2 linked regions of the Oreochromis niloticus genome follow. The protein of the gene in region 1 interacts with the protein of each later gene in a biochemical or structural test. Links are inferred from orthologs where the notes say so. Each region holds a gene or a part of one and is shown on either strand. Other genes may lie near its edges.

Evidence for each region.
Region 2: the proteins of eif2s2 (region 1) and eif2s1b form a complex in vitro, tested with the Homo sapiens proteins (2 studies listed by BioGRID and IntAct). The link is inferred for Oreochromis niloticus from reciprocal best matches to the Homo sapiens genes EIF2S2 and EIF2S1.

The regions. Positions count from the first base shown.
Region 1 is NC_031984.2:24,618,893-24,634,161, forward strand, and holds eif2s2 (eukaryotic translation initiation factor 2 subunit 2), read left to right. Parts: upstream 1-9,252; 5' UTR 9,253-9,395; coding exon 9,396-9,410; intron 9,411-10,425; coding exon 10,426-10,609; intron 10,610-10,701; coding exon 10,702-10,802; intron 10,803-10,924; coding exon 10,925-11,054; intron 11,055-11,148; coding exon 11,149-11,249; intron 11,250-11,903; coding exon 11,904-12,052; intron 12,053-12,165; coding exon 12,166-12,222; intron 12,223-12,336; coding exon 12,337-12,422; intron 12,423-12,531; coding exon 12,532-12,707; 3' UTR 12,708-13,915; downstream 13,916-15,269. Other genes in the region: charged multivesicular body protein 4b, read left to right, coding at 415-598, 1,954-2,131, 2,558-2,672, 3,905-4,031, 4,779-4,843.
Region 2 is NC_031980.2:14,219,688-14,235,650, forward strand, and holds eif2s1b (eukaryotic translation initiation factor 2 subunit 1b), read right to left. Parts: upstream 7,718-15,963; 5' UTR 7,558-7,717; intron 7,448-7,557; exon of another isoform or gene 7,317-7,447; intron 5,209-7,316; 5' UTR 5,207-5,208; coding exon 4,966-5,206; intron 3,932-4,965; coding exon 3,852-3,931; intron 3,584-3,851; coding exon 3,432-3,583; intron 3,344-3,431; coding exon 3,237-3,343; intron 3,155-3,236; coding exon 3,057-3,154; intron 2,949-3,056; coding exon 2,805-2,948; intron 2,706-2,804; coding exon 2,580-2,705; 3' UTR 2,010-2,579; downstream 1-2,009. Other genes in the region: atp6v1d (V-type proton ATPase subunit D), read left to right, coding at 7,975-8,015, 9,861-9,978, 10,262-10,341, 10,430-10,497, 10,580-10,624, 10,729-10,832, 11,208-11,274, 11,359-11,437 and 1 more; pals1b (MAGUK p55 subfamily member 5b), read right to left, coding at 14,297-14,473, 15,539-15,649, 15,918-15,963. UniProt on the Homo sapiens protein: Member of the eIF2 complex that functions in the early steps of protein synthesis by forming a ternary complex with GTP and initiator tRNA. This complex binds to a 40S ribosomal subunit, followed by mRNA binding to form a 43S pre-initiation complex (43S PIC).

The sequences.
Region 1 (15,269 bases):
AGCAGGACAAAAAATCTATACAGTGGCAAAAATACTGCCTTTACTTGTCGTTTGGGGACGGTTCATTAAGCACGAAAGCACAACAGCTGCTAAACTCAAAAGAGGAAAAACTATTGTCATTATTATTAATATATTCCTTGTTAAAGAAGAGTGATTGAAGAATTAAAGAGGATTAAAAGCAGTTGTCAGGCAGATGGCGACAGAGAACTTGCAGACGACGCCACTCATTCGCCGGGCAGAATGACGTCAGTGGGCCTAATCCAGGAAGTGGAAAAACATCAACAACCCTTCCAGGGTCCAGGTTAAGGCGAAGTGTCCGAGTAGCTTAGCAGAGACGTAGCTTTAGCTTTATTTTCTAAGATATCTCGCATTTGTTTTTTGTCTTTATAGTAAGCGCTGTGTAATATCCCAGACATGTCGGTGTTTGGCAAGATATTTGGAGGAGGAGGAAAATCGGGAAAGGGACCGAGTCCACAGGAGGCGATCCAGAAACTCCGGGAGACGGAGGAGATGCTAACCAAGAAACAGGAATTTTTAGAGAAGAAGATCGAACAGGAGCTGCAGACCGCAAAGAAAAACGGCACGAAGAACAAAAGAGGTGAGAGACCGCGGGGTTTTTTTTCGTAGTTTCTTCTCTTGCTTTTGTTAGATTTTCTTGTCAGCAACCTCAAGCTAACCGTTAGCTAGCCCGTTAGCTGAGTTGGCTAACTTTCCCGAGGTGTCATCCAGCGTCTTTACCACGGCCATGGCTGCCAGCCTGGATGGGCGGCTATCTAGCTCCCTGTGTGACTGACTTCATCATGTGATCACCGTTAACTTATGGCCCCGCGGGGACGCTAGCCTTGGCCTTTGCCGATATTCGAGTTTTCTTTTGACTCATAGGTGGCCGTTTAAAAATCAGGAGACCTGGTTGAAGGTGTGGTGTATATAGACTGTTAGGTATCATGTTGCAAATATAGCGACAATAAAGATATCGACCCAGTTAGCCAGGACAAGGGTTGAGCACGTGTTATAAGTGTCAGAGAGGTGGGCGTGTTTGCACCTTGATCAGATGTCCGTATAGAAACCCGTAGACCTCCAGCAGGTCCCACAGTCTCCTTACAGATGATTACGTGAGCCGATCATAGCTTGGGGCTCATAACTTAACTGTAATACAAGTTGACCATGTTCTACCACAACGTGGAACCAACCATATAGATTAGTACCTGTATATTGTTCTTGTTGACATCAAGCACATTTCTGGGGATCAGAGTAAATTTAATTTAGATCAGAATGGTTAGCGGTGTCACCTCCCAAGAGAAGATCGCAGGTTCAAATCCAGCCAGTGTGGAGTTTCCATGTTCTCTCCGGGTTCTCCAGCTCTTCCCACAGTCCAAAGACATGCATGATATTAGGTCAATTGATGATTTATGGTTGTCTGTGTTAGCTTGGTAATAGACTGGCGACCTGTCCACCAGATGTATTAAGTTAAAATAAAAAAGACTTAGTGCCAATTTTTAGTCAGAATACTGCAGTGTATGGTACATTAGCTAATCACTTCCTTCTTGTGATTCACAAAGTTCACACAGAATGACTCAGCGTAGCACAACCTTCTCTGACAGGATCAGTATAGCCTATCAGGTTTCAGGGGTTGTTGTCATCTGACCTCTTTGGCTGATTAATTACTCTCCAGGTTTTCCATTAGTCTTCACGTAGGCTGTATTTGACTGTCTTTCGTATTGCTAAAACTGTCACTAACGTGGTCGAATAATCAGCAGTAAATCAGCTATGTTCACAGAGTAGAGCTGACGAACAGGAATGACAGCCTGATTGGGTAGTAACACAAATATTTGCTGTGTTAAAGTACCATTATTCACTGTTTCTCTCCATTGTCACTAAATGGTGTTTCAAGGCCAATCTGTTCATTCTGACTCCCCCCACCCCCCACCCCACTCCCTGTCTTTGGATCCTCAGCGGCACTTCAGGCCTTGAAAAGAAAGAAGCGGTACGAGAAGCAGCTCGAGCAGATCGATGGGACGCTGTCCACCATCGAATTCCAGCGGGAGGCTCTGGAGAACGCTAACACCAACACTGAAGTGCTCAAAAACATGGGCTTCGCTGCCAAGGCCATGAAGTCTGCTCATGAAAACATGTAAGAGCGAGCACCAAGGCCTGATCGATTGGACTGGGACAAAACCTCTCTGCACAGATTATATTTGCAACTTCCTTTTTGTTACTGAGACTAAAGCAAGTGTAAAGAAGATTCAGTCAGTTCTGAAATGATCAAAAATATTACAAGGAAGCTTTGCTGATAATGAAATGCATATAATTTCACCAACATGCAGTAATCCTTTCTTTTATGCATTTATTTCAGTCAGTATCTGTATGTTTTGAAATGTAACCATAAAAAAGTGTATGTGGGTTTCACTGCCATGTATATTAAAAGCCTGACATCCTCCTTAGTTTTTACCGTAGAACTACTCACACATCTAATCGTCATATTTAGATTAAATAGCCTCTTTTATAAAACTTATATGAGTGAATTCTCTTTGCTCACACTCTTTCCTTCTTATTTCAGGGACATTGACAAAGTGGATGAACTGATGCAGGACATTACAGAGCAGCAGGAACTGGCCCAGGAAATCTCTGACGCCATCTCTAAACCTGTGGGCTTTGGAGAGGAGTTTGATGAGGTAGGTGAAGCTCTTCAGGTGTTTTCTGTTTACATTTATGTGGTATATCTGTCATCTGTTAGTATTAAATATTTGTGATTCTAAACGTGCAAGTGCCTCATTTTATTCACAGATTTTATTACCAAAAATAAATTGAGAGCATAGCAAAATAAAACAGGTAATGATGATTAAAGAAAAAAGACTCCATTCTAAGCTTAAATCAAAAAAACGAAATGGTACAGGAGGGTTCATATGTACTTGCATCCACAGCAACATATTGATAACTGCAGATACACACTGTTACGACCCTGGCTTGTAGGCACGTTAAAGTGTGCTTTAACCAAGATGGAGAAGGTGGAGTTGCACCTAAAAGGTTTTAATAGATTCTTTTAAAATGTTTTTTGATGTCTTTTTTCACAAAAGGAGACAAAAAACAACTACACCCACATTTAAAAGAAAAAACCTCAACCTTTGGTACCACCTTGAGATCTGTTGTCTGTACACAGAGTAGTCATGCATGGTGCATATATATAAAGATGAAACTGGCAGCCCCTTCCAGCCAGCTTCTGTAATAATCTGGAGCTTGTTTGGAACACAGGACTGGGGCAGCAGTCCATCAGCAAATGTAGAAGGTAGAGTAATGAAGAACCAGGGACCAATCAGGAGAAGGGCTCTGCACACTAACGAGCATGCAAAGCAGTTGAACCACACAACGGAGAGAGTGTAGAGAGACACTGGGCTTTAACACACAGCCTCCCACAACCACATACACGTACAGTTATTTAAATGTGCATTTATGCATATGCTCCATACTTAGTTTATACTATGTCTATGCCCTACATCTGTCTAGTTGTTACTGGTTTCCAGTGTCTATTCTAATCCTTTCTCATTCACATTAAACACATTTCTAAATTCTGCTGTGTTCCACCGTGAATCCTCTTGGCCACAGTGAAATCGTTCTGTATTTTGTATCTTTGCTTATCTAAGCAAAGATGCAAAAGACGATGATGATGGGATTTTACTGCACATGACATAAGCATCTTTTTATACGCCTGACTCAGAAATATCATTACTCATATCTTAGAGAGTTGCTTTTATCCCGTGTTTGGAGTGTGAATGTTGCACTGATAATGATATTGGGTTAACCCAGTATAGCCGAGTCTGGTTATTAGTTTTTATATCTTTTTGCTTTTGCTGGTATGAATACATTGGTGCTGGTCTTCATCCTTGGGGTCAATTTCTTTGCTTCTCAGGATGAGCTGCTTGCCGAGCTGGACGAGCTGGAACAGGAAGAGCTGGACAAAAATCTGCTGGAGATCGGTGGACCCGAGACCGCTCCTCTCCCCAATGTGCCTTCGACCTCATTACCTTCCAGACCTGGTAAGAACTCTTCAAGAAAAGCCATGAAACACTTTAGCAACCCCGACTGCAGGTTTGTGTGTTTGTTTTGTCCTGCTTTAGAGAAGATTTAGGTGTTGCTGCTGGCTCTCAGGAGTTGCTAGGTGACCTGGTGTGTAACCATTCGCATCGCATTTTTTACGTTGTTCGCTGGAGATACAAACTGTTAATTACTAACTTTCAGTGATGCTGCTGCAATGGTTTTATTTTTAGTTATATAGCACCAAATCACAACAGCGGTTTCCTCAAGGAGCTTTATTTCATAGGATCTTTACCTTTATCCTGAGCTAAAGATGCTGTTATAATAAAGGAAAAAAAACAAGCAGACGATCCCTTATGAGCAGGCACTTGCCCCAAAGGTCACATGGTCAGCTTATCCAGCCCTAACTATATGCTTTATCAAAAAGAAAGTTTTAAGCCTAATATTAAAAGTATAAAGTATATAAGTAGTGTCTGAGAGTAAAGTGCTCGAATGGAATTATTATACAAGACCTTGAACCTGAGGAGAGGATTTTAAATTCAATCCTGGATTTATCAGGAAGCCAATGAAGAGAAGCCAGTATGGGAGAAATGTGTTGTCTCTTTCTAGTCCCTGTCAGTGCTCTTGCAGCAGTATTTTGTAATAATGAATTACAATAGTACTGCCTAGAAGTGATTAATGCTGAATGAGGATTTGATGAGATCCTCAGATCACATCTTTTATTTCTGTCCTCCTCCTCCCTCCCACAGCCAGGAAAGAGGAGGACGAGGACGACATGGAGGACCTGCAGCGCTGGGCGATGGAAGCCATGTAAATGCAGCATCCGCCACATCACACCTGCATCGGAGAGGAAAGGAAAAAGGGGGGAACGAATGGACTGATGGGATGTTGTGTCTGAGTGTTTCTGTGTGTCTGAGGAGAGTGGACTGTCTACTTTATGTGTAACACTACAAAACAAAAAAAGCAACAATGCTGTAGTCTTTCTTTTCCTTTTCCCCTTTAGAGACCCCCAAGGTGCTCAGTACAAATGAGCCCGTGAGGGTCTGCTATACTGGACAAAGTCACCTAATATTTTTACCCTCAATTTTAATGCAGCACTTTGTGGTCCTTGTTGTGTGCCATGCTGGTGGCCACAGATTTCATGTCGCGGGGTGGTGTTATGAGCTGGATGGTGCAGTAGATGGAGTTATTTACCAAGCTGTTGGCATTGTTAACATCGCTGGATGATAAGGGGGGGGGGGGGGGGTGTTTAAGGATGATTAATGCTTAAAAAATCTTTCCGATTTCTCCCGTTTACCTATTTGTGGCATTTTTTTGTGTTGTTGTTTTTTGTTTTTTTATTTTCTTGACAAAATAACCCGTTGCTCCCTCGTCTTGTTAACTGCTCTGGAAATGAAGGTTCAGCTGAGCGTGTGCTGGCTGAAGAAGCTTTGAGCTGTGTGTGTTTGCCAGAATCCAAACCTCTTCTTTCATTTCAGGTTGGGTTCTTCGACCTCCTCCCCCTCGCTCCTTCTTTGCCTCTCCCCTTACCCTCCCAACCCCATCAGTGGTTCTCGTTCTTTGGTGTAAATATCCCAGCTGAGTGTGTGTGGTGGGGGGGGGTTTGTTTGTTTGTTTGTTTGTTTTGTTTAAGTACACTGCATTATTGCTGCCATTGAGCGCTTCGGTTGATGCTGCGTGAAGCATGCAACGGTGGGGAAATCACGACACAGGTGACACCACACGGCTAGTAAGAGAGATGTATAACCTACCACTTTCATCCTCCTCTGTCTGTCCCACTCATAAAGGTTTTCATTTCAAAATGTATGTTTAAAAGAAAAAGGAAAAAAAGAAACTAGTAATATTAAACAGTTGTCACACCTTATTAACTGCATCCAGAGGGAGATGGTGGTTTATAAAAGATTAGATTATAGCCAATCTACACCACATGCATTTCAGAGTTTAAAAGAGTTGAATTCCTTTAGTTTTTCAGCAACATGATGTACATTTTTTACATAGAAAACGTAACACGAGGACAAATGGATAAGCATGTTTGCATTTCTATGTTTTATTTATCCAGATGAGAATATTATTTGCGAATCATTAAATGGTTTTCAATTCTTTCATTGTGGTGGAAGCATTGTCTGTTCATGCGTTTTGTTTTGGTTTTGGTTTTTGGTCAAATGACTAAGTTAAGCAGATCACCAGAGAAAGAAACAAAGTGTGAGTGAAGAAAAACCTCAGCGAGTACATTTTTAGCTTGAATATTAAATTGGTAACTAAAGCTTTGTTACAGAGTATTTCTAAAATCACTCCAGTCTTGTACTTTAAACAAGACAATGATGACAGAATCTTTTTTTTAGCAGTCAAAATCAACAATAATAATTTATTATTTTCTGGCAGATACCTTACTACCATTCAGATATGTTGTGATGGGATGTGGCATGAAATATTTCCTGTATCTGTCTCTTGAGGGAGCGGCAGTTGGGTAAGTATAGGAGAGGATGGCCAGTCACTGAGCCAGCCTTCCTGGTCAGTTTACTCATTCTGTTGGTGTCGCCAGCTCCCCCAGCAGAACAAAGTCCACTGTGCTCGTCACATCTACGTGATGAACATCTCCATGATGTCGCATCACATATTGGAGCATCTCAGCTTCCTTTGGAAACTGAGATCTGTGTTGATCTTCTCTTCAGCCGTTCAAGTGGACTCACAGGTACCTGTAGTCCTCCACCACATCAGCATCTTGTTCCAGGATAAGCACGGGTTGTGTAGCTGGAGGTTTTTTTCCTTTTCTTTTTCCATCATAAAAACACCAAAAAACAAATATTAACAAAATCTTTTTAAAGGCGATTTAAAGACGAGAACAGTAACTGGTCTGTTCCAAAGACACTAAAACCTAAAATATCCAGGTTTTGTATTCATTCAACAAAGTTTAACTAAAGGGAAAATCAATTTGCCGTGTCACTGGTCTTTTGTAGTTTTGAAAAATGGTGCCTGTTTATCAGACCTCAATGATTTTCCTTTAAAGTACAACTATTATTCTGGATATAGCACATTAGCTACATAGCGGCAAATATTTACATAATAATCAACGGCTGTATACAGTCATTGTGACATTATGACAATCATTATGAGATCAGAAGGTCATGAGATCAGAAGGGGAAATACATAATAAAAGATATGCTCCAGGTTGTAAAGAAAGAATGGGCTATACAGCATTGATAGCAGGTGTTATAGCCAAGTTTACCTATGCTTTATATCAACTGTCTAAATTTGACAGGAAGAAAATGTTCAAACAAACTCCCACTGCCACTCAAAAGGAAAATGTGATGAAAGATTACCTGAGACTAGCAGGGCTAGAAAATGTAATGAAAGATTACCTGAGACTAGCAGGGCTAAAAAAAATCTGATGAAATATTGTCTAACCCTGCCAGTCTCAGGTAATGTGATGAAAGATTACCTGAGACTAGCAGGGTTAGAAACAGATACCTATCCCTGCCAACATTCCTAAAAGGCAAAAGAAACACACTTCAACATGATAAAAAAAATTTTTTGATTGCAATGATTTTCTAAGACGCCAATTTAACATGAAATATTTCCTGTATCTGTCTCTTGAGGGAGCGGCAGTTGGGTAAGTATAGGAGAGGATGGCCAGTCACTGAGCCAGCCTTCCTGGTCAGTTTACTCATTCTGTTGGTGTCGCCAGCTCCCCCAGCAGAACAAAGTCCACTGTGCTCGTCACATCTACGTGATGAACATCTCCATGATGTCTCTTCACATATTGGAGCATCTCAGCTTCCTTTGGAAACTGAGATCTGTGTTGATCTTCTCTTCAGCTGTTCAAGTGGACTCACAGGTACCTGTAGTCCTCCACCACATCAGCATCTTGTTCCAGGATAAGCACGGGTTGTGTAGCTGGAGCTTTTTTCTTTTCTTTTCGCATCACAAAAACACCAAAAAACAAATATTAACAAAATCTTTTTAAAGGAGATTTAAAGACAAAGACGAGATAAGCAACTGGTCATTTTTGGGGGGTTTTAACTCCAAAGACACTAAAACCTAAAATATCCAGGTTTTGTATTCATTCAACAAAGTTTAACTAAAGAGAAAATCAATTTGCCGTGTCACTGGTCTTTTGTAGTCTTGAAAAATGGTGCCTGTTTATCAGACCTCAATGATTTTTCCTTTAAAGTACAACTATTATTCTGGATATAGCACATTAGCTACATAGCGGCAAATATTTACATAATAATCAGTGGCTGTATACAGTCATTGTGACATTATGACAATCATTATGAGATCAGAAGGGGAAATACATAATAAAAGATATGCTTTTAAAAGATATGCTCCAGGTTGTAAAGAAAGAATGGGCTATACAGCGTTGATAGCAGGTGTTATAGCCAAATTTACCTATGCTTTATATCAATTGTCTAAATTTGACAAGAAGAAAATGTTCAAACAAACTCCCACTGCCACTCAAAAGGAAAATCTGATGAAACATTACCTGAGACTAGCAGGGCTAGAAAATCTGATGAAAGATTACCTGAGACTAGCAGGGTTAGAAAATCTGATGAAAGATTACCTGAGACTAGCAGGGCTAGAAAATCTGATGAAAGATTACCTGAGACTAGCAGGGTTAGAAACAGATACCTATCCCTGCCAACCTTCCTAAGAGGCAAAAGAAACACACTTCAGAATGATAAATTATATTTAATTGCAATGATTTTCTAAGACAGCAATTTAACATTAAATATTTCCTGTTTATTCTGTCAAACACATAGTGAAACATTGGACCACATTCTTTATGGGTGTGTTCATTTTGGTATTTGTTTACTTTCAAAGGTTCACGTCAGAAAATGAAAATTCCTTAGTCAGGATTGCAACAAAGTGAAATATGGCCTGATAATGTAGAGCATGCTGTTTATAATTTTTTTAATTTGTTTTGTAAGTTTATTTTTACTGTATTATTTAATTGTATTCAAGTTGATTTTCTTTCCTTTTTTCTGGTACTATTCTCGCTGATATTCTCAGTCCTTTTTTTACTTAAATATTATTTTCTATCGTAATGTTATAATGACTAGTTTGTTGTTGATAAATGAAGGTTTAATTTTTTACTATTATAACTGTAAAAAATGAACTATATAAAAACGACAACGTGCATATTTAGCACCAATTTATTATTTCTGAGTCACGATCTTGAACGTTCCCTAAAAAATGCCAATGCGCAAGCGCAGAAAGGGGTGTCACCACGAGCACGTCAGGATTTGGCGACTTCACGCTTGCGCACTGTAGTCATACGCTGATGCAAGAAATTTTGGGCGAAGCGGTGTGGGACTGATCGAGGAAGAAAGAAGAGGCATTTTTATTTCACTGTTCAGCACGCAAACATGTCAGGAGACGAGGTAAGGCACTCCGAGTCAGACGCTGTTTAATCTGTGTAGGTGTGAAGAACTGTTGGACGGAATTCGTTGAGTTTCAGGCGCACATCGGTGCTGAGGATGACTTTGGGCCTCGACTCTGCTGCTCCCTCCCTTTCTGTCCGCAGTAGCGCTCACATGGCTGCTGCAGTCGGGCTAGCACGGCCCGAGCCAGCCGGAATATCAAGAAAATCATCAATTATATTGATATACAGCTATTTATCGGAGCATATACGTTATTTATTCTGAGCGTGGCTCATCAATCCAAGCTGTCGCAGCTTCCGCCGGACTCTCAGAGAAGAGTGGAAGCTAGCAATGTAGCCTTAGCTTCCCGTTACCAGAGCTGCGGAGCTAACTGTTAACGTTTTCTGCTGGAGACAAAAAGCTTTCTGTACCTCGGTTTGTCCTTAAGGACGGCTCCTGTGGCTGTAAAATAAAACCAAAATACCAGAATCACCGCTGCTTAATGTTAATAGTACGACATTTTTATTTTTATTATTATTTTTCTAACTGAATGGGGGCAGTCTGTGCAATATGTTAGTTAAAAATTCTGGAGGGTTGCTTTACCTCAAGCCGTTTTATTAAGAAACCTACAGCAGTAGGTAGTTTTCTTAATAGTGTACTGACACGCTCAGTGTGTCACTCAGTGTACACTGAATCAACTCAAGAGTCCAGCCTCTGTCTGTAAAGATGATATGCAGCATTTTGTTATCTGTTGTTTTCTTTGTTCAGTCCTTGATATGACTTCGTGTTACTTCTTTTGGCCTATAATGGAAAAAATAGCGTCTTTCCACAGTCCAGTTTTCATAACTGAAAACAAAACTAAATTTCACAAGCAAAAAATTTTCACACTAACTCCCACAGCCACTCAAAAGGAAAATCTGATGAAACAGTCAACGTTATGTATATTTAAAGCAACCATAAAGTGTCTGTACTAAATGAAGCTTGACAGCATTTCAATATTTATTTTAATGTTATTTTTTTATTCACTCTTTTTCAGATGATTTTCGATCCCAACATGACTAAGAAGAAAAAGAAGAAGAAGAAGCCCTTCATGCTGGAGGAGGACGGAGGAGAAGGGACAGGAGGAGAAGAAGCTAAGGAGGTGGAGACAAAGGAGGCAGAACCAGAGGCTGGAGATGACAAAGAGGTGGATCTAGATGAAGATGAAGGCAGGAAGAAAGGTTAGACTTTAGATCTATTTAAGGTGCGGTATCAGTTCACAACTATGTTGTGTAGAGTTAAGAGCTCAAAGGGTTTTTTGTTTTTTTTCCAGAGACGTCGGATGACTTGAACGACCTAAACTTCTTCAACCAGAAGAAAAAGAAGAAGAAACCCAAGAAAGTGTTTGAAAATGATATCGAGGAGGGATTGAAGGTCAGCCATTGATAAACATTTTCTGATTTTGCATTACTTTTAACTTTTTGCTTCTACTGATTTGGATTGGCTTACCAATAACTTTCACATGCTGAGTTTCACTTTTCACTTGTCCAAACCAGGAGCTGAAAATTGAAGGCGAGCAGACGGAAGCTATGGAGGAGGACAACCTGGATGTGAATTTCCTTACCAAAAAGAAGAAGCCAAAAAAAGTAGATTTCGATGATAGTGAGACCGCTGAGAAAGATGACGGTACGATGAAATCGCATGGTTTTGAAACTTAGGAACCGAAACAAGGGACAGGGATCTTTGACCCATAATGTAATTTTTCTTTTTTTTCTCCCAGCACCGGATGATGATGATGGCAAGAACGGTGATGGGATCTCCTTCAGCTCTTCCACAGGACCAGCCTGGGCTGGTTCGGAAAGAGACTACACCTACGACGAGGTAGGATGATACGTGAAATGAGAGAGTTAGAAACAATTCTGGAAAGGCAGAAAAAGAGCTGTCACAGTTGTTTGTGAAGTTATTTCCTGTAAAGTGGGATAAATATTAGACTGTTTTTGGTTGTTTTGTACTGTGTGAGGCTGTGTACGCATAGACATAATAGACTGTTGTATTTTTCTCTCTCTCATTAATAAATGTCCTGATGTTAAGACCTTAGCCCATTTGGTTTTGTGAGCCCCATCCCCACAGATTTTTTTAAACTGGAATTACTTTGCAAACAGTTTCTGCCTGAATAGAGCCAGTGTCCACTAACTTAGTGCTTTTATCTACATTTATGTTGAAGTTGTATTGAGTTTTGCACTGAATATTTAACGGCATTAAATGTACTTTTTGAATAGAGTTGTTAAAATCCCCCACTTATTGTTCTATGAGGAAATGAGTGAAACGGTTTGTAAAATTATAAAGGTGGATTTACCAGTTTGAGAACAGGGTTTATAAACAGCACAGATTTACACACTGCTTACCTTTTTATTTATTTTTTTTATTCTCAGCTGATCCCAGAGGGCTCTGAACTTCTGTCCTTTTATATTCTGTATTGAAAACTTTATGAACATAGACAAAAAAAACAAAGTCACAGTATTGTCTCTGTTCCAGCTCCTGAACAGAGTCTTCAACATAATGAGGGAGAAGAACCCCGACATGGTGGCTGGGGAGAAGAGGAAGTTTGTGATGAAGCCTCCCCAGGTGGTCCGAGTGGGAACCAAGAAAACCTCCTTTGTCAATTTCACAGACATCTGCAAACTGTGAGCCTCGTGTAGCTTTTTATATTTACTGACAGATGCATCTCAGTGACACTTGTAGTATGTGTGATTCACAAACTGATATTTTTATGTTTTTTTCATGCGATTAATCACAGGTTGCATCGTCAGCCTAAACATCTCCTCGCTTTTCTATTGGCTGAGCTGGGAACGAGGTACGCTTTTTGTATTTTAAGTGGTGTCAGTTCTCAAGCTAAGTTTGTGGCACGTTTTGTTTTTGTGTGTTCACTTTAAGTAAAAGTTTAATTTGCGTTTTTCTCTGTTAACAGCGGCTCCATTGACGGAAATAACCAGCTTGTGATCAAAGGCAGATTTCAACAGAAACAGATAGAAAATGTGTTGAGAAGATATATCAGTAAGTAGGAATGACATGTTCTTTACAGTGAAGTTACATTGATGGGGTAAAATTAAACCGTCCCTGCTTGTGAACAGTAATGTTGAGTGGACTGTTCTCACCCCTGCAGAGGAATATGTGACGTGTCACACCTGCCGCTCACCGGAGACCATCCTGCAGAAGGACACTCGTCTCTATTTCCTGCAGTGTGAGACGTGCCACTCCCGCTGCTCCGTTGCCAGCATCAAGACCGGTTTCCAGGCTGTGACGGGCAAGAGGGCGCAGCTCCGCGCCAAAGCTAACTAAAGGCCATTAAAACTGGGCTCCCCCCACCTCTTCTCACGGTCCGATCTTTCCCCATCAGAAGGGCCGAAGCTGGGGTCGGGCGCCCGCTTGATCTGCTAAAAGGACTCTCTGAATCGAACTGCGGGAGGGTTTGGCTGTCATTTTGGTTGTGTCACGGCCTGACCTGACAGGGAGTGAGAGTGTCTAAAGATGACAGATAGGGTTCAGGCACCTGTTAAACAACAGATGTTTGACACATACACTGCTGAAAGCATTTGATTTGTTTGGTTGGTGGACCCTCCAGCTCTTAGGGGTTTTTTTTTTTTGTTTGTTTGTTTTTTTTCTGTTTCCTATTTGCTGTGATTCTTGATTCCTCCAAAAAAAACCTTGATTTAACACAGCTTGAAGTTTACTTTTTGTTTATTTTCTCCCACTTTACATGCACCAGACATTAATATTTCTTCAGATTAGCCAAATTGTAGATAAGGTAAGTTCATCTACAGTAACAGAGCCTAGGAATAGTTTTTTTTCTTGAACTCAACTAAAGGGTGTGTTCATGTTTCTGCTCTTGTCCTAAATGATAATACAAAAAACTGTCAGTCTAGGATTTTCTACTCAAGCTTATAGAGACAAATCAGTCACGGGGCTGGAGTACATACAGGAACATGTCACTGAAACTAGTGTGTGAGGCTCCTAACACAGGACCTGCTTTTGATCATTTTGTAGCAGGAGACACAAAACCAGAAGACTTGGGGGCTGATGAAGGGGAGAGCAACATTAAGAGTACTCTAATAAAGGAGGCTGTTTATGAGACGAGTAGAAATTATTATTATACAGTATGTTTGTGAGTGCTTTTGTGGCACTGATGAGCAGTTTGTGTACTTATTTGATTAGAAAATTTTGTCAGCCACTTGAGGTTTGATGAAGTCAATTTGAAAATAAAGATTCAATTTTTCTCTTTTTTTTTCTCTCTCCGATGAGCAGGATTCATGAGCTAACGCCAGTCACTAAAATAATAAAGTAATAATAAACAACTTCTGAGCAGGCACCTCAGATCGTCTCCTCCTTCAGGTTCCTATTTTGCAGTGTGGTTAAAGAAATTTACACCAGAGTCTATCAATAAGTATCAATCTTAATTGTTTTGAGAGGAATGTGAATATAAAGGTCTCGCTGGAATCATTTTAAAACCTGGTTTTTACAAAAATAAAATATTCTACTCTCTCTCTCCACTACTTTCTCTGCTTGCATTAATGACAGTGCCTGTTTAGTAATTGTCAGTCATGGTAATGACGTTATGATGTTTTCACTCTGTCGCAATGGAAAAAGGTCGTAATGATCAGTGAACGGCTTTGGCTCTCGTCATTATGCCCCCCTCGCTTCACCCGTTTATAGATATGGCCATTTTTTTCGAGTCCCATTAAAATATTTAAGTCTTATTTGTGTGACTTGCTCAGATGTGATTGACGGTCCTTGTGAGGCCCACGGTTTGCTGTAATGATACAAACACAGACCCACAAGGTTAAAACATGAGCAGCTGATAACCATGGTAACTGGAGACAATGTCCTTGAGATCGGTAATAACATGTCGAGTTGCAGATTTATTTGGAACCTGACTGCAGGATAATATGGAAACTGGGTGCCATTGTTAGGTTTCCTCTGCAGGCCCAAATGTCACTATATCATTATATAATAGTTGTTGTTTTTTTAGCTGTGCTTAAACTACCAGTATGCAGGCGAACACATCAATCACTGATTTATAAGTCACATAAATCTGTCATAACCAGCCAGACTTAAGCACATAGCCTATCAGATAAGTACTCATTAATCTCCACCACTTGCCATATTATAAATGTGTTTCAACAATTTTATACAGCCAAACCATGGATGTTTAAGTTAAATTCACAAACTTTGCACTTATACTATTTGGAGTCAGAATATGGATGCTATAGATATAGTTCGCCAATTTATCCAATAGTTATCAAACCATTGAGGCTATGCTGTCTCAGTTCTGCTTCACTTTGTACAACTCAGACTTTCAATCAGTGCAACTCCAGGTGATGTCGCCTAAAGAAATACTCTGATTCTGCAGCAGCTGGATGTTTAAGTGATGAGGAGGAAATAGGCATTCAGAGCAAAAGTTAATGAATTTGTGGAGTGGTCATTGAGGAAGTATCCACTTCTGAATGTGAATAAGACCAAAGAAGTTGGTGACTGACTTTCAGAAGGACACGAACCGTGTGTATTCTGGGACAGACTGCTGATGTGGTGGAGGACTATGACTACCTGGGTAACCACATGAAAGGCCAGCACAGAGGCTTTAAACAGAAATTATAAATGATAGAGATAATCCGTCACGCAGCTGTGGGCCATATGCATCAGAAATGGTAATACCAACGGAGTGAATAAACTGAAGGCTGGTTCTGTGATTGGCTGCTAACGGGAATTTTTAAAGTCAACTTTATTGCAATAGAGACTTTACTATTCCAACAATTTACTGTTTAGATGTATGTTTTTTTAACTACCTAGTTTTTGTGACTGGAGGTGTTTTCTTTTTCTTTGTTTTTTTTTTCCTTTTTTGAATTA
Region 2 (15,963 bases), on another chromosome or scaffold:
ATTTCAAGCGCATCGCTTACCCATCAAGGTGCCAGATAAAAATGTAACCCTTTAAGGCAACTGAAATTGTTAATTTTGACTATGAGTTCAAGATTTTTTTAAAGGAACTGGCCTTGAAATCTTTTGTCTCTCATTCGATGGCACAAGTAGAGCCATGTCAAATGAGATGTATTTTAATTAGCAGTTCATAGTCAGTATTTTAACATGTTCACCTTTTCCACATACATGTCATGAGTTTAGGTTAGTCCTCTAAAGTTTATCTTTCGATTATCTAACTTTCTTTTTGTTCCGGGTCAGGTTCTTGATGAAGAAGCTGAGGTCTTTATAGTGAAGATGTGGCGGTTGCTCATTTATGAAACTGAAGCAAAGAAGATCGGACTGGTGAAATAATCGTCGGCCGAATGAAGATGAATTCCTCTTCTCCTTTACCTTCATTGTGTATAATACTGTAGCGAATTTATGTCACCCCAGAAGACGTGACTGACCATACCAGTACAGACTGTAACTGCAGATTCTGCTCATTCTCACATTTGCACCAGTTGTTGGGTCTCCTTTGTTTTTTTCTTCTTCTGTTTAAACATACTCAGGCTGCATCCACCTCCACTCTGCAGGTGCTGATTGTGTCTGTGTGCTTTTGTGTATATACAGTTTGTCATTATTTGGTTATGAAGAAGCTACAGCTCTGGCCACCCAGGGTCACTGTGTTGGAGATGAGACCCTTTAGTCCCATACTCTTTTTTTTTTTTATACATGCCAACACACACTGAGTGAGAACAGTTTGCAGGTTTGCTACAAACAGTTCACCATTTCTCAAACTATTCTTGAGTTGTGAAATTGGGCTTACAGTTGAATATGGGTTGGTTAAGTAGACACAAACTAAAGCGTATGAATGACTACAGCTATGATGTTTTTAAAATAATTACAGGGGTATTTATTAAGGGTTTTTGGACGTAACTGAATTTTATTTCTGTAATTAATACACAAATTCTTCCCCCTCTCCTGACATTTGTCACATTCCTGACAAACTGGCATGTTGTTTTCAGACCATCTCTAAAACATCTAGTTGTCATTTGAAATGTGTCTACTGACAAGACCCATAGGCCATGTGACATCCTCAACGCTGTAAAAGCACACGTCATAACCACTATAGGAAAATGAGCTAAGAACGAAAACAATTGAAATTGTGAAGATGCTCTCCATTTGTTTTTGTATTGGTGAACATTTGAATAAATAATTTTTATAATCATTCGACTTTTTTGGTTTTGCATTAAATCACAACCATTAATTTCAGTTCATGTCCTAAAATATGGAGCTGGATTTAGGGTTAAAGGTTTTTTTCTGTTCCCTGTTTCTTTGTGAGCAGACAAATAACCAGATTTTCAACAGCTGGGCTAACACAGACAACCATTCACACTTATGGGCAATTTAGAGTTTCCAATTAACTTATCCCCACTAATTGCATGTCTTTAGACTGTGGGAGGAAGCCAGAGAACTCACGCAAACACGAGGACAACATGCAAACTCTATACAGAAAGATCCCAGCCTGATGGAGTTGAACTCAGGACCTTTTTGCTGTGAAGCAACAGTGCTAACCACTGTGCTGCCTGTATCAGAATTCAACTAACTCTTAAATTGGCAGAATGAAAAATAAATAGGGCCTTAAAGTTTCAAACTAAAACGCAAGAAACTTAAAAAAGCAATGAGTTTGTAACAAGTCCCCTAATTTAGAAAAAATTCCCTCCAGATAAACAGTCTGAGTTCTAAGTTTTCTGAATATTAAACCAATGTTTAGGGTTCTTGGCATTCATACGTTGATATACAGTCAAACCTATCTCCAGTTGGCTTCATTACAATCTCTCCATTTGAAAAAAACAAAAAGAACAAAAAAGGCGAGAGTAACCGACGAGATTTACCTTGAATTCATCCAATATTAATAATTGCTGCTTTTTTGGGAGAATAAATGTTATTTCTTGTTAGTGGAACAATTTAATTAGACTGACAAAAAGGCATTGAGATCAAAACTTCCAGATCTTTATTGATACGATGGGAGCTAAACAAGAGCCAGTAAAAACCCTTTAACTGGAAGAGAATCAGCACATAAAGTCACCGCTGGCCGGTGTAGAGACAGATGAAGCATATGCGTTTCCCCTTCAGTCAGTCACATCCAGTGAGCAGCCGGAGATAAAGCGGCATGGATACTGAAGACACCGGGCTCTTAAAGCAAGAGGTAAAATGAAAGGCCACAGCTTGAAAACAGCTTTTCTTGTTTTAGAGTTATTTAATCAAATGGGGGTACGTTAAAATAAAAACTATAAGTGATGTTTAACTTGTAATTTAACCATCCTTGTGTCCGTGTCTGGTTAAAAAGACTGCGTTTTCAGTTACCTTCTTCTGAGACAAACCTCTCTTGAACAAACTGGGATGTTGCCAATAAAAATAGTAACACCAGTTCATGGTTGCAATGTGAAAGTTAACATCTGTTGGACTGGGTGACTGAGGCCAGGTCTGTCCATGTTTCCTTTTCTTCTTTCCTCCTTTGATGCTTTTCTCCCCACCAGCTTTCCAAAGAGGACCGACTCTTAGTCCTCTGCTTTGGCCTCCATCTCCTCAGCGTCGTCGTCTCCATCCACCTCGGCGTTCTCGCGCTCTAACCTCTCCAGCTGCCGGGCGAGCTCTGTCTCATCCGTGTCCGTCACCACCTTAGGCTGCAGGACAAAGTTTACAGTTTAAGCATAATGATCCTTTGGCCAGATGAGCTAAAAACAAACATGATCATGACAAAAAAAAAAAGTGAAATCATTCACCTCCATCTGGATGTTAAAGACACCCCTCTTCTCTTCAATCTTCTCCTTGATAGCAGCCATGGCCTGGTTGAGGACAGAGAGGCCCTCTGTGCGCTCCAGGGTGGTCGTCGTCATCACGTAGCGAGGGGGAGCGATCAGGTTGATCTGCAAAAGGTAAACGCCATGAGAGAGAAATCCAAGTAGAGACTACAGCTAGAGACTCATTAAGGTAAATAAGAGTTTTTACTTCTTAATGGAAGAGAGAAAGATTACCTTGATGGGCATGGCCTCTGTGGAGCAGCCCAGCCCAGCCCTCAGAGCTTCTTTCACGGCGTCGATCCCCTCGTAACCATAGCACGCCACTTCAATGTCTGCACGAGGTAGAGGAGGTTATCTTCACATTTCTAATTTATTCCTAAGTCCAACTGAGAAACACTGTGAGTAAACAGTCACCTGCTCTGATCTTGACAGCCTGTGGAGTGAGTCGCCTGTTGATGTTATCAATCAACACATTCCTCTCCTCCTCTGTTAAATCCAGCCCATCCAAAATAGCTGGATCTCTGCAGAAAGCCATCAAAATGTAAATGTGTGCACACACTGAACAACCTGTGTTTCATTTTAATAAGAAGTGCTGAAATGAGAACTTACGATACAGCCTGTTTGAAGACATCATAAGCGCCGTATCCTGGCCGCTTGTATTTCTCATCGAAGACCCATGCGGTGCGCTGGTACAAGCTCTCTAGCTGCTCGTCCTTAGTGTACTCCAACACCTCTGCCACGTGTCGCAGGATGCTGTAAACCTGCAAACAATTTAAAAATCAGCTCAGCCCAAACAATATTGTAAAAACAAACAAGATAGCTGTTTACAGTTTCTTACAAATACAGATCTAACTTGTCTCACAATATTATAATGAACGCCTGAACCAAACAACCACTACCTTTGACCACAACAAGGCTCAAAGGCAAGTTCCATCGACTTAACTGTACACAAGACAAGGAAGACATCTACGAGCTGGACAACTTGCACCAAAATGACCGAGACAGATAAAAAGCATTTGACCAACTTACAGTTTTAGATTTGGTGAATTTATCCTCACACTTGATGGCCTCCTCTGGTGAAACTCTTCTTTTTGATAAATCAATGTATCCTGAGGAGAAAACAGAAGGAATGCAAAAAAAGCTGTTTTAGTGCAGCAAGTAGTTTCTTACAATTAAGAATGATACGATTAACTAACAGGGAGGGATTTGATGGCCACTTGCTGGTCTAAGTTTCAAAATGAGCTCGTCTTTATTTCCTCATTACCAGCTGTACATGGATCACAGGTCAAAACTGCACAACTATCTATCTATATAAAGAAAATAGTCACGTAATATGAGTCAAATGAGCTGTATATTTTACGATAAGCAGAAAATGTCCAGTTCAGTAGCTCAGTTCAAAGTGGTCATGCTTAATTCATGTTAGTTTTCTTTTTCTTTTTTCTTTTTGAATGTATGAAATATGTAATATCTAAATAGGTACATTTAGATTTGTGCATAGAGGTATTCTGCTATTCTAAATTACATTTTTGTAACTACTGTTTTTTCAACTTGATGCCAGCGTGGTGGTTATTATAAACTCAAAAATCATCATCTTCATTCATCTTATAATGAGCCTCAGTTCCTCAGTTCACCCACTCTCTCAAACAAGCTGTTTAAGGCAAACTTTCATCTGACTGGGCTGTCCCTGGAAAAGAGAAGTTTTGAACAGCAGGTGGGTGGAGCTGCAGTTCCCACAGAACTGTTGAACAGATAAAGATATCACCTCTTAGTGACATCATACAGAGCCGAAAGCACAAGAAGGGTCTGAAATGGTGCATTAAAAAGCAGCCTGAGCTTCAGGAATTACCCATACATATGGTGACCTCATTAGAGCAGGTCCCCGTTAATTATTCCAAATTAGATATTCTGTGTGTCATGTGAGACTGTCCTGATATTAAACTGGTGAATGCTATAACTTAATGTAAGTTATTGATCATATTACTAACCACAGTCCACCTGACGTCACAGAATAACACTTCAATTCAAAAAAAGGAAATGTGGACCACACAAAAAGATCTCATTTCATATGGTTTTTATTCCACCAGCACTTTGGCACTGCAGATCCGACACGCCACCAGTTTCAACTATATTAGTCTACACTCACCCTTCTCTTTGTCTACTCGGATGACGACCACGCACTCGTTGCGGCCTATGCGGATGAGCTTGTTGATGGAGCGGATACGTCGACGCGACAGCTCGCTCAGGAGGATCATGCCCTCAATGTTGTTGTACTCCAAAAGGCTGACGTAGGCGCCCATCTCAGCGATGGACCTCACGTTCACCATCACGACATCCTCCACCTCTGGGAACCGGTGCTGGTAAAATCGACAGCTGAGCCCCGGCATTGCTGTGAGGTCAGAAACAGTTAAGAAGACAGGGGGAGGTTAACGTCTGCAAGTCATGGCACAAATCTTCACTTTGCAGTTTTAAACACTGTGAAAAGTACTGCTCGCCCTGTAACTTGGTGTTTCAGTACTAATAAATACAATTTTTTTTCTAGTTAATAAAAAATGGTCAATAACTTGTAACTAGCATCTCTGCCTCCACTGCTTCAGTTTTCACCAAAGGTTGTTTAAAAAGAAGTCCCACAACTAAACACAATCAAAGCTCAACATTAAATTAGCAGAGAACCATGTATAAATTATTTCATTCTGGTTTTCTTTGTCTTTTTTAATCTCAATTATAGTAATTTGTGAATAATCTGTCACACCATCCCTCTGACAATCCTCCTTTTAGATGTAGTGAAAGAGACATGCAGAGCATGTGACAGAGCAGATGCTAGAAACAGAATGAGAGGGTCTAGTGTGGTGACCCCTAAAGGGAGCAGGACCCATGATCCATTCATGCTTGTGCACGGTCTATTACGTGTTAATTACTTAATGGTTGTGAATCAGTGTTTTATATGTGGGGTCAGCCACAAATTATAGAGGCATTATTATTCTCTCACTAATAAAATACAAACTATGCTGTGAAAAAGTAGTCAGAAATACACAAGAGGACTCAAAAATACAGAACAATCATAATAGTTGTGGGCTGCATCCACACAATGTCTAATTACACGTCAGGTTACAACATAGGCTTTCAACACAGAAGCACAAATCCCCTGTTACCAGGGCACATCACCATGTTAACTTCTAGATTAGCTTGTATGAAATCACTGCCTAATGACCAAACAAACTCTCCTTGAAACAGCGTCATCATTCCATTCAAGATCTCCTGGACTGGTATGCAGCAGCTGTGCTGCTTTCAGCCTGTATTATGTGTATGACCACTTCATATTCTTCTAATATCATAGTTTTCTCCTCTGTAAAATCAACGTCCCTGTTGGCAGTAGGCTTATCCAGGTTTATGACTGATTGGATGCAGCCAATGCCAACTCTCTTATGTAAGCGCACTTGTAGCTAGATTGAGATGACAAATATGGGGACAGACTTACTATTCCCCAAATCTTTTGCTTTCAACATCCTGTTGTCCCTGTAACCTGAGGACAGCAGCCTACCCCCTGGAGTGTTTGACCCTTAGATCCTATCACCTTTGTTTTCCCATTCTTTGATCTCAACACTCCTGATTTAAGACTCTAGATATTGTATCTTGTGCCTCTGTTTAACATTTACATATAAATCATCCTCTAGTGATAGTCGTCTCCTCCCTTCCTCTTGTGTAAACCACTACGAATGCCATGCCTCTTTGGTGGGTCAGAGTCGGCTCATCTTCCAGGACCCACTATCTGGGCTGGTATATGGCTAGTCCATTTCTTTGAGAGTTGATAAACTGTGTGTTAACTTATTGTGATGATAACCACCTTGATGTGATATCATGGGTATGCAGGCCACAGACAGGCAACTGGGACACAATGTCAGCAACCACAAGTACTCTGAGTTTGAAAAATGCTGCAGTCAGCCAATTAACATCAATCCCTTTCTACATCAGAGTATTTTAACTATACACTGCAGTGCCTGTTCATGAAGTATATTCAGCTACCAGTAAAGACATCCGTTTATGGAAGAACACTGTAATGAAAAGTATCATTTTTTCTATTTTACTCAGATTTTAAAATATTAGTTGCGGTCATTTTTAGAGGCTTTAACCTGTAAAAAGACTTTGGCCATAAAGATGTTTTCTTTCTAATCCTTAGTCTACTATCAAGAAAGGTGTGGACAAAATAGTAGAGAGATACCTTTAATATTAAACGAAAAGTCCCAGTCCGTTTGAATGGAGCCACTTATCTGTGTTTCTATGTTTTCCCACTGAACAAAAGTCAAAGCCCAGGTTTAGCTTATATACAAATATCCAGGACATAAAATAAAAGCAGGGAAATGAAACAAACTTCTGCCATTTGTCTTTTTCCCCTGTTGCTGTGAATGGACTGATGTAACGCATCATCATCGCAGAAAAATCACTTACTGTTTAAAATAGAGAATCGGCGACAAAATATGGACACAAAAAGCTGCTTACCAAATATTTAGTACGTGTTACCAGCGACTGTATGACTTCCTAGTTATCACATTTAAAACCACGAGAAGAATGTTCATTCAAGCGCAGAAACGCTTTCTTTCAACATCAGTTAGCTTCCCAGCTAATAACCCGGTGCCCAGCTCACATGCGGCACACGCAGGCTAAGCTGTTAGCCGGCTATCTGCCAGTTCCGATCGTTCCCCAGTCCCCGCCAAACGACATCTTCATAAAACAAACTCACCTGTGTCATAAGGTTACAGAACGACGCGCCTGAATGTTCCGTGCTGACTTTGTTTAAATGTCAGATTCGGTTTTCTTTCTGGTGTTTTGTTTTTTTTAATGAGTAACTCAGGCCCGCTAGCTCACATTCATGGGTGTGCTAATTTGTCGACCCGGAAAAGATCGTAGGGACCTTCCACACGCGCGCATGTGCGGAACGAGATTGGTTCTTTGGTCACATGACGCGGAGGGCCAGCTGATCATCGCCGACAAGATCACGACCGTCAACTCGATCTGCTCTTCTAATCCTACACGAAGAGCGAGATTTTAGCTGTTATATGTCTAGATTAATAATTCAGGATTCAAGCTAAAGTTGTAGTGTTGATTTAGGGAAGCGGGAGTGAACTGAAAATCGCAGTAATCGACAAAAAACGGAAAGATGTCTGGAAAAGACAGGATCGACATATTCCCCTCCAGAATGTAAGCAGCTTGTGCGATGGCTAGTTGCTAAAGCAATGTAGCTTCCTTAAAGCTCATATACCACTGTTTTGTTGACATATTTGCTTTTATATATGAAAGTTGTGGATAATTTTCTGCATGCATTTGAAAAGCAGGGATCGCCGTTTTGTTTTGTGCCAAGGTTACCGTTTAAAAGAGGAAGAATCCTTCTGCTGTCATGTGATATTTCTCACATTATCCAAGTGTGAGCTGTCAGTCGGAGCGACTTCATTTTAACCTAATTTCACCTGCATCCAGTTATATTAGATTTACGACCACTGAAACAGTATAACACAGAGGTTTGACCCTTTCATCAGCTCCTGGGTGCAAATATCAGTGAGCTGTGTATGTAGAGGAGTGGTGCAGATTGTGTTGATCCTTACCTTGTTTTAAAAATAACGCTATTACACAAATTACAGCATGTAACACCTTCTGTCCGTAGACTCTTGGTTCAGATAAGATCTCCTCCCGAAAAAAAATTCTGAAAATTCTGAAAATTTCTAAAATTCTGAAATGGTAAAAAACAGAAGAAATCTCAGGAAAATCAATGGGATCTCTCTTCCAGGATGGGAAGGGATTCAGCATAGAGCAACGTAGTAAATTTATATTAGAGACGATCAGGATGACATCGTTAACAATCTAACATGTAACAATCTGTGAGTAATGTGACACAAAAGTGGGCTTGAATGTTGATGGCTGTATGTTTTCGGCTGCTCCCTTATTCACAAAGAGGGCTCCACAGAGGATGGATCCCCATATTTATCTGGTCTTAATCCAGGGATCTCTAACCTTTACACTATGGAGCCATGTTAAATTCCAGCGCAGGCCTAAGGCAGCCTTATTGCATATGAGTCACCTGCTCAAGTCTGGAAAGAGCTGGGGAAAGATTGTGATTTGGAAATTTTTATTTAGCCTTTATTTAAATTGAAAGTTATCAGTCATGATAATTTAAATGAAAAGTCAATGAGCAGTCAATAACAAGTGAGTTACAACTACTTAGCTATTTAGCAGATAAAATTCAACTTGTCAGGAGCTCATTGTAAGGTCTCCCACCAGAACTACAACACATGGACTTATGCATTAGCTAGATGAAAGAGAAGAACAGATACTACTACTTATTCATTTTTTAAGGTAAGCCAGCAAATGGCCAGTTGAATTAGAACCCAGGCCTCCACACTATAGCCCTATAATATACAGGTTTGCCTGCTAAAACCAGTGAACCACACTGGTGCTCCAGAACAAACTACTACTCTTGACAATTAGCATTTAGTAGCCTGATAGAAGAGGGAACAGAGGAGTTTCAGTAGTGGTTTTTTTGTCTTCATGGGTGCATGATAGCCCTGCCCTGAGGGCATTGAAATAAACTCACTAGAGAGAATGTGGCCACCTTGACTAATAAGACCCTTTTCTTTCTGAACTACACATTTCTTTGGACTTGGTACTCTTGGAGTATACGTCTTTAATAATGTTTTTAAGGCTGTTCCTGTCCTTCAGAGATGACCCATTGAACCAGTATATGACATAAAATGATGAAATGTGGAAAATTAGAAGCAAATCCATTAAAAAAAAAAAAAAAGAGCTTTAACAAGCATAGAGGTCGAGAGAGAAAAGAGGAAAATCTGAAATGCCGGTTAAAAAAAAAAAAACTGGGGTGAGGGTATCAACTACCAGGGAAGAGAGACAGAGACCTTGGGATGGCCTAAGGTCTGAGTGAAAACATGACAAGGAGATGAAATGAATGAAACTTGGTTGTGTCATTTTACCCCTAATTTAACTGTCTGATTCAAATAGAGTGTTAAAAATATGTGGGTTTCTCTGGATTTGCAGGGCTCAGACCATCATGAAGGCTCGGCTGAAGGGAGCACAGACCGGCCGCAACCTGCTCAAGAAGAAGTCCGATGCCCTCTCCATGCGCTTCCGTCAGATCCTTCGCAAAATTATTGAAGTCAGTTTAACATGAGCCTTCATTTTTGGTCCTAATACAGTCTGAAAGAACAGATGATGCGATAAATACTTTATTCATACATCATGCATTTTGGTTGGAGGCTGTAGCTCATGATAATGGTCAATTAATCTGATACTAAGAGGTGTTTCTATAGTAATTAATTGGGTACCTTCATTGTTATGAACCAACAAATTACAGCCAGTCTGAATCAAAACCTCATGAAATAAAATCTTCATGAAGGCTTTCAGCTGCGTGTTTCCCAAAGGTGTGTTTATACTTTTAGACTAAAACCAAGATGGGAGAGGTGATGAGGGAGGCTGCCTTCTCATTGGCTGAAGCTAAATTTGCTGCAGGAGACTTCAGGTAAGAATGAGAATAACGTGTCAGCGACGTGATGTTGTGTTCTGGTGCAGAAACACAAACAACTTCCATCTGTTGTTTTTGTCTACAGCACAACTGTAATCCAGAATGTTAACAAAGCCCAGGTGAAGGTCAGAGCCAAGAAAGACAATGTGGCAGGTTAGCATCAAAAATATCTTCTCATTTTTAATCATTTTTTGTTTTGTTTTGTTTAAAATATCTGCTGCTTTTCTTCTTTTAGGTGTCACCCTTCCAGTATTCGAACACTACCAAGAAGGCGGAGACAGTAAGTCCAGTTACATGTCTGAGTTTGGTGTAACTCTACATTGGGTTTGAAGGGAATCGCAGAGAGCGCTCTTCCTCACCCCACGATGTGTTTGTGTCTGTCAGGTTATGAGCTCACCGGTTTGGCGAGAGGAGGAGAGCAGCTCTCGAGGTTGAAGAGGAACTATGCCAGAGCTGTGGAGCTGCTTGTGGAGTTGGCCTCCTTACAGGTAGGAGGCGCTGTTACATATTAAAAGCATGCTTTATAGTTAGGGTGATGGTATTATCATTGAAAAAAGCACAATGTAACGTCACTCAATGAAACTAAAATTGTATTGATGATCTCACATGTAACTGTGCATAATGTGAGTGTATAATCAAAGGCTCACATCCTAAATGACCAAAACAACTCATGAAGACAAAGGGGTAGCGTCTCCCGCTATGGTTTGTGTATTCCTGCTGTGTGGCATATCACTATAACATTTCCACAAAGGATACATTCATTACACTGAGTTTGTGTGGATTACAGATGCAGATGAAATGTAATCTATACTCTAGAAAAGCTGAAGTTTAAGTGTTAAAAATTGCTCAATTTTGGTTTGCAGACATCTTTTGTCACTCTGGATGAAGCCATAAAGATCACCAACCGCCGTGTGAACGCCATCGAGCACGGTAAACACACTTAACATTCAACTGCAGCCTTTTAAATAAAATAAGGGTTGGTGCAGCTAAAATAATTTTGAATCCGCTTTGCAGTGATTATTCCCAGGATTGATCGCACCCTCACCTACATCATCACAGAGCTGGATGAGAGGGAGCGAGAGGAGTTTTACAGGTGACGATGTTTTCTGTCTGCCTTGTGAAGGTTTTAGTGCATAAACCTATAAAAAACTTATCAGGAGGCATCTTTTGCATGTTTATTAGATATTCTTGTTCCAGCTGGCTGTCCACAGCTCCGAATTCATTCTGTCACTACCCCAGCAACTTAAGTCCAAAACCAGACTGCGCAATCCTCAATTTTTGGTTATAACACAGAATGTTCTCTGCTCTCTGCTTTGCCAGACTGAAGAAGATCCAAGAGAAGAAGAAGCAGCTAAGGGAAAAGACGGAGTTGGAAATAGCCGCCCGTTTAGCTGCTCTGGGACCCATCGCTGAGCCCGCCAACATGCTGACAGAGGAGGCGGATGAAGATCTGCTGTTTGAGTGAGGAGCATTATAGGCCACCGACTTCACTAATCCTTTTATTTATTCTGTGCCTTTCTGGCCAAGTCTGCGTCTCTTTACGTCAGCGATGAAAGTTGTTTCTTTTTTTTGTGTCCACGTCGTGATGATTTGTTCTGAGTGTTTCCAGATGTGTACAGGGATCAAAGTGCTGTTCGGTATAATACACAAGTGAGACCAAAGCAGTCTCTAAAAAATTAAGCAAATATTACAATGAGTATGTTTACACATGGTGTGCAAGTGATGATAAAGAAGCGTCCCGTGTGACTGATCACCTTGTAGATATTCAAGTTTTATCATATATAGAGGCATTGCATGCTGTACAGCTTAAAGTGGTTGTGGATTTCAGAGGGTGCGAGTGTGCGCCGTGGAGACCCGTCCCGCTGCTCACTTCATATCGTGCGGTTCCTGTTACCTCACTGGAGGCTGTTTACCATTTCACCAGAAGCCCCAATGTGACCCTGTTGTAAAATGTGATGTGCAAGTCAAAACAGCCCAACACTTCATCCAAATAAAGATGTTCTAAATATTCAACCACTGATTGAATTTCTTTTTTTTCCCCCCCACTGAAGGGAAAACATTTTAAGTTCCATATGTAAAGACAATTGGGGAAGACTGCTAAGAGACGGCTTCAAACCTTTAATCAAGTGCAAATTATACTGTGTTTAAGCAACTCTATAGATAAGGAATGATGGCAATTTGGGACCAGAATGCTAAATGTATTTAAAATGCATTTTAAAAAATTAAAAGTTATCTTTTTTCAAAGGAAATCCATTTCAGAGGTGTTCTCACTATTGGATACACCCCATTTAAGTGAGAGGAGAAACTGAATAAGGAACTTTAGTTAGTTACCCAGTGGCTCTGGGCAAGAGTGGCACCACAGTAGATTTAGACACATTAACACTCTGCGTCGAAAAATGTTTTTAACTGCAATCTAAACTTATGAAAGAAAAAAAATCTAGCATGCTGATAAGTCTTTTGCCAGTTTGGTCAGATTTGTTTTGAAAACGTGCCTGATGGCTTTGATGGACATGGTTATTGCTTCCTGTCCTTAGCTGCAGCCGGTTTGATCCTCTATATTGAACCTGCTTCAAGGTTCAATATATTGTGCATTTGGAGATGCTCTTCTGCATATCTTGGCCCTGACAAGTAGCTAGTGGTTTAGACCAGCGGTCCCCAACCCCAGGGCCACAGACCAGTAACAGGTATCGGGCCACGAGAGTTGAGGCTCGTGTGTGAAATTTATGGTTTTCAGGGTTTTTATTGTTAACTCTGTTTCCCTGGGTCTTTTCCCATGTGTTAGGATCTTCTTTTTTTGGTACTGTTACTGGTTTTATTTTGTTGTATTTATCCGTGACACCAAAGGCTGGTCCGTGAAAATACTGTCGGACATAAACCGGTACGTGGCGCAAAAAGGTTGGGGACCGCTGGTTTAGACTATTCATTCAAACCAGGTACAAATGTATCTAACAAGGTGGCTGCTCAATATATATTTTCTGAACTTCTGAACAATCTTGTCCTGACAAATACCCAAATATAACCATATAAAAAATAAAACTAACACTGAAAACAAAAACTAAAAACCAAACCTGGAATCTGAACTGAAATGAAAACTCAGAACTACAGAAAAGATAAAAAGAAAACCTTCTCTTTGATATAAAAGCCAGACAAAATATGTGACTTGTTCACATGTGTTTTATTTTATTAACAATTCATGAGCACAGAATTGTGCCTATGAATTTGCAAATGAACTGCAAAGAATCAATACAGTATTTGTTGGAATTGGAATCACACTAACTGATAACAGCTCTTATCAATACTGATAGAAAAACAAAAAAAATAAAACCAGAAACTCGGCAGTACTTAGCAGCATTACTGTTTGTAACGACAACCAGCTACAGTGGTTTGTTATCACAGCGTAAAATCATAAAATGAGACACAAAATAAAATACTGACAATGGAAGTACCTCCAAACTGTGCAGATTACAGCAGATCTCTCTCCTGTACTTCTGAGTGGAAGACGGTGCCCTGCAGCCACTTAAAGCACTGATCCTTCTCTTCTGTTTGGTACCTAAAGAGTTTCTGATCTGCTGTTTCATCAGGGAGCCAATTAAAAACCAACACATAAAGACTCTCACACACACAACACTTGATCCTTTGGTCTAGAAAATATGTATGTACAATTATAAATAACTATTAAGCATAGAATAGAAATGGTTCTATTTTGTTGATAAATGACTTTGCATAAAACTGAGATCAACAGAGAAACAAAAATCACCAACAGACACACACACCGACAACAAAATCAAAGATTAAAATTGAGTCCATCCCTGTAACGATCACCTCCTCTACAAACGAGGAAAATGTGCAAGTCAAATTCCAGTGACAGTTTACCAACCGTCCTTGGTTTGTTTTTCACTCTCCAGTCTTCTGTTTACCTCCTCCAAATCATGGTGCTGGGACACAGTGACCTCTAACACAGCCAGGACGTGGGCACCCACTGGGGCTCAGTGTCCAGTTTATCTATCAGCCTGCGCAGCTCGTGGAAAGCCTGGTCTGGATCCACGTTCAAGATGGTCGCATCAAAGTAGTGGCCGAAATTTTGCTCCATCTCGCGGGCCTTTTCAATGACCTCCTTCAGCATCTCCGGCTGTGCACAGGAGATGGACATCAGTTCAAGAAACTGCAGTAGTGACTCTTATTATTACAGGTCTTCATTCTCAATAGCAGTCTTCATGAACAGAGATAATGTTTATCTACTGATTTTTATATCTAAATTTGGATCCAATACATTTAAACAACGGTGTACACACATAAAAACGTGCCTGGGACTTTTCCACACATGTTAACTGCGATCTATAAGAATGTCTCATGTGTTGTTGTTTTTTTAGAGTAAGTCTGTTATGAAGTTCAAGTCAAAAATAGTGTGATAAAATTTAAAATAATTTTAAAAAAAGGCATTTTTTATTATGGAATCACCTTTTGTTCGTCATAAAAGAGTAAAACTGATTTGCCTTTCTCTTCAGGTGATGCTATAAATTCTTCTTTCTCTATAAGTTAACACATAAATGAAAAGGATGAGATCTTGTTTTTGTTTTTTGATCCATTTTTTATTTTTATTTGTATATCATTATCTTGGCCGGCACTACTTCAAAGACTGGTGCTGTGCTGACAGACTTTTGAAAAGCCGATGATGTGATGCTGTCATTTTATTTAGTAAAGTAAGTAAAATTTATTTATTAATTAAGTGCTTTTCACAGCCAAACAGTCACAAAGCGTTTGTGTGGGCTTGGTTGTTTCTGAAACCATTAAACCAAACACCTTTCCTTCTCTCTACTTCTTTACTTCTTTAGTCACAATTTTGTCTAAGAGTTTATGGTCTAAAGAGTCTTTTTCAACAAGCAAAATTACATGAATTATTAATTCATGACTAACGCTGGGTTCGGAAATTGGGCTAACACTGTATGCAATTTATAAACAGGACTATGTGTATGTACTGCTCTCCATGACTGATGAAACAATGCCCATTTTTGCCTTTGTGTTTACACACAATTTCACTTTTGTTTGGTTTGCGTGCATCTTACCTCTAGCTTTACTATCTCATGACGATTCTGTGAGTTAGAGACCAGATTTTTTGCAATATATGTGAGTAACTAATGGTCGTTCCCTGCTCTGCCTGAACTATGTTTTCTTTTCTGAGCTGGTCAGCGTTTACCTTTGGTGTTTTCCCCTCTGTGGCCAGCAGGGTGCGTAGTCGCTCCTGAGAAGGAGGCGCTATGAAGATCACATATGGCTTAAGGTTGGAGGATCTCAGGACTCGCAGTGACTGACAGAAGAAAAAAATCAAGGCACAAAGAAACAAAATGAATGGAAAGAGCAGCACAAGGAAAAAAAACACAGATTAAATATGGTGTCTTCAAATGTGTTATTTCAGCTTTGATCAGGCTTAAACAGGATTAAGATTTATGTTGAGGAAATGAAAAGGGGTCATTATGTTCTGGCAGGGCCACAGTGGTTAAGATCACAGATGAGGGAGGATCTAACGGGCTTTGTAATTAACATGTTAGTGTCTGGACAGTAACGAGGTCTCCTACCCTTGTGTGTAGGCAGAGCAGACAGATGCGTCCAGAGTTGATGACG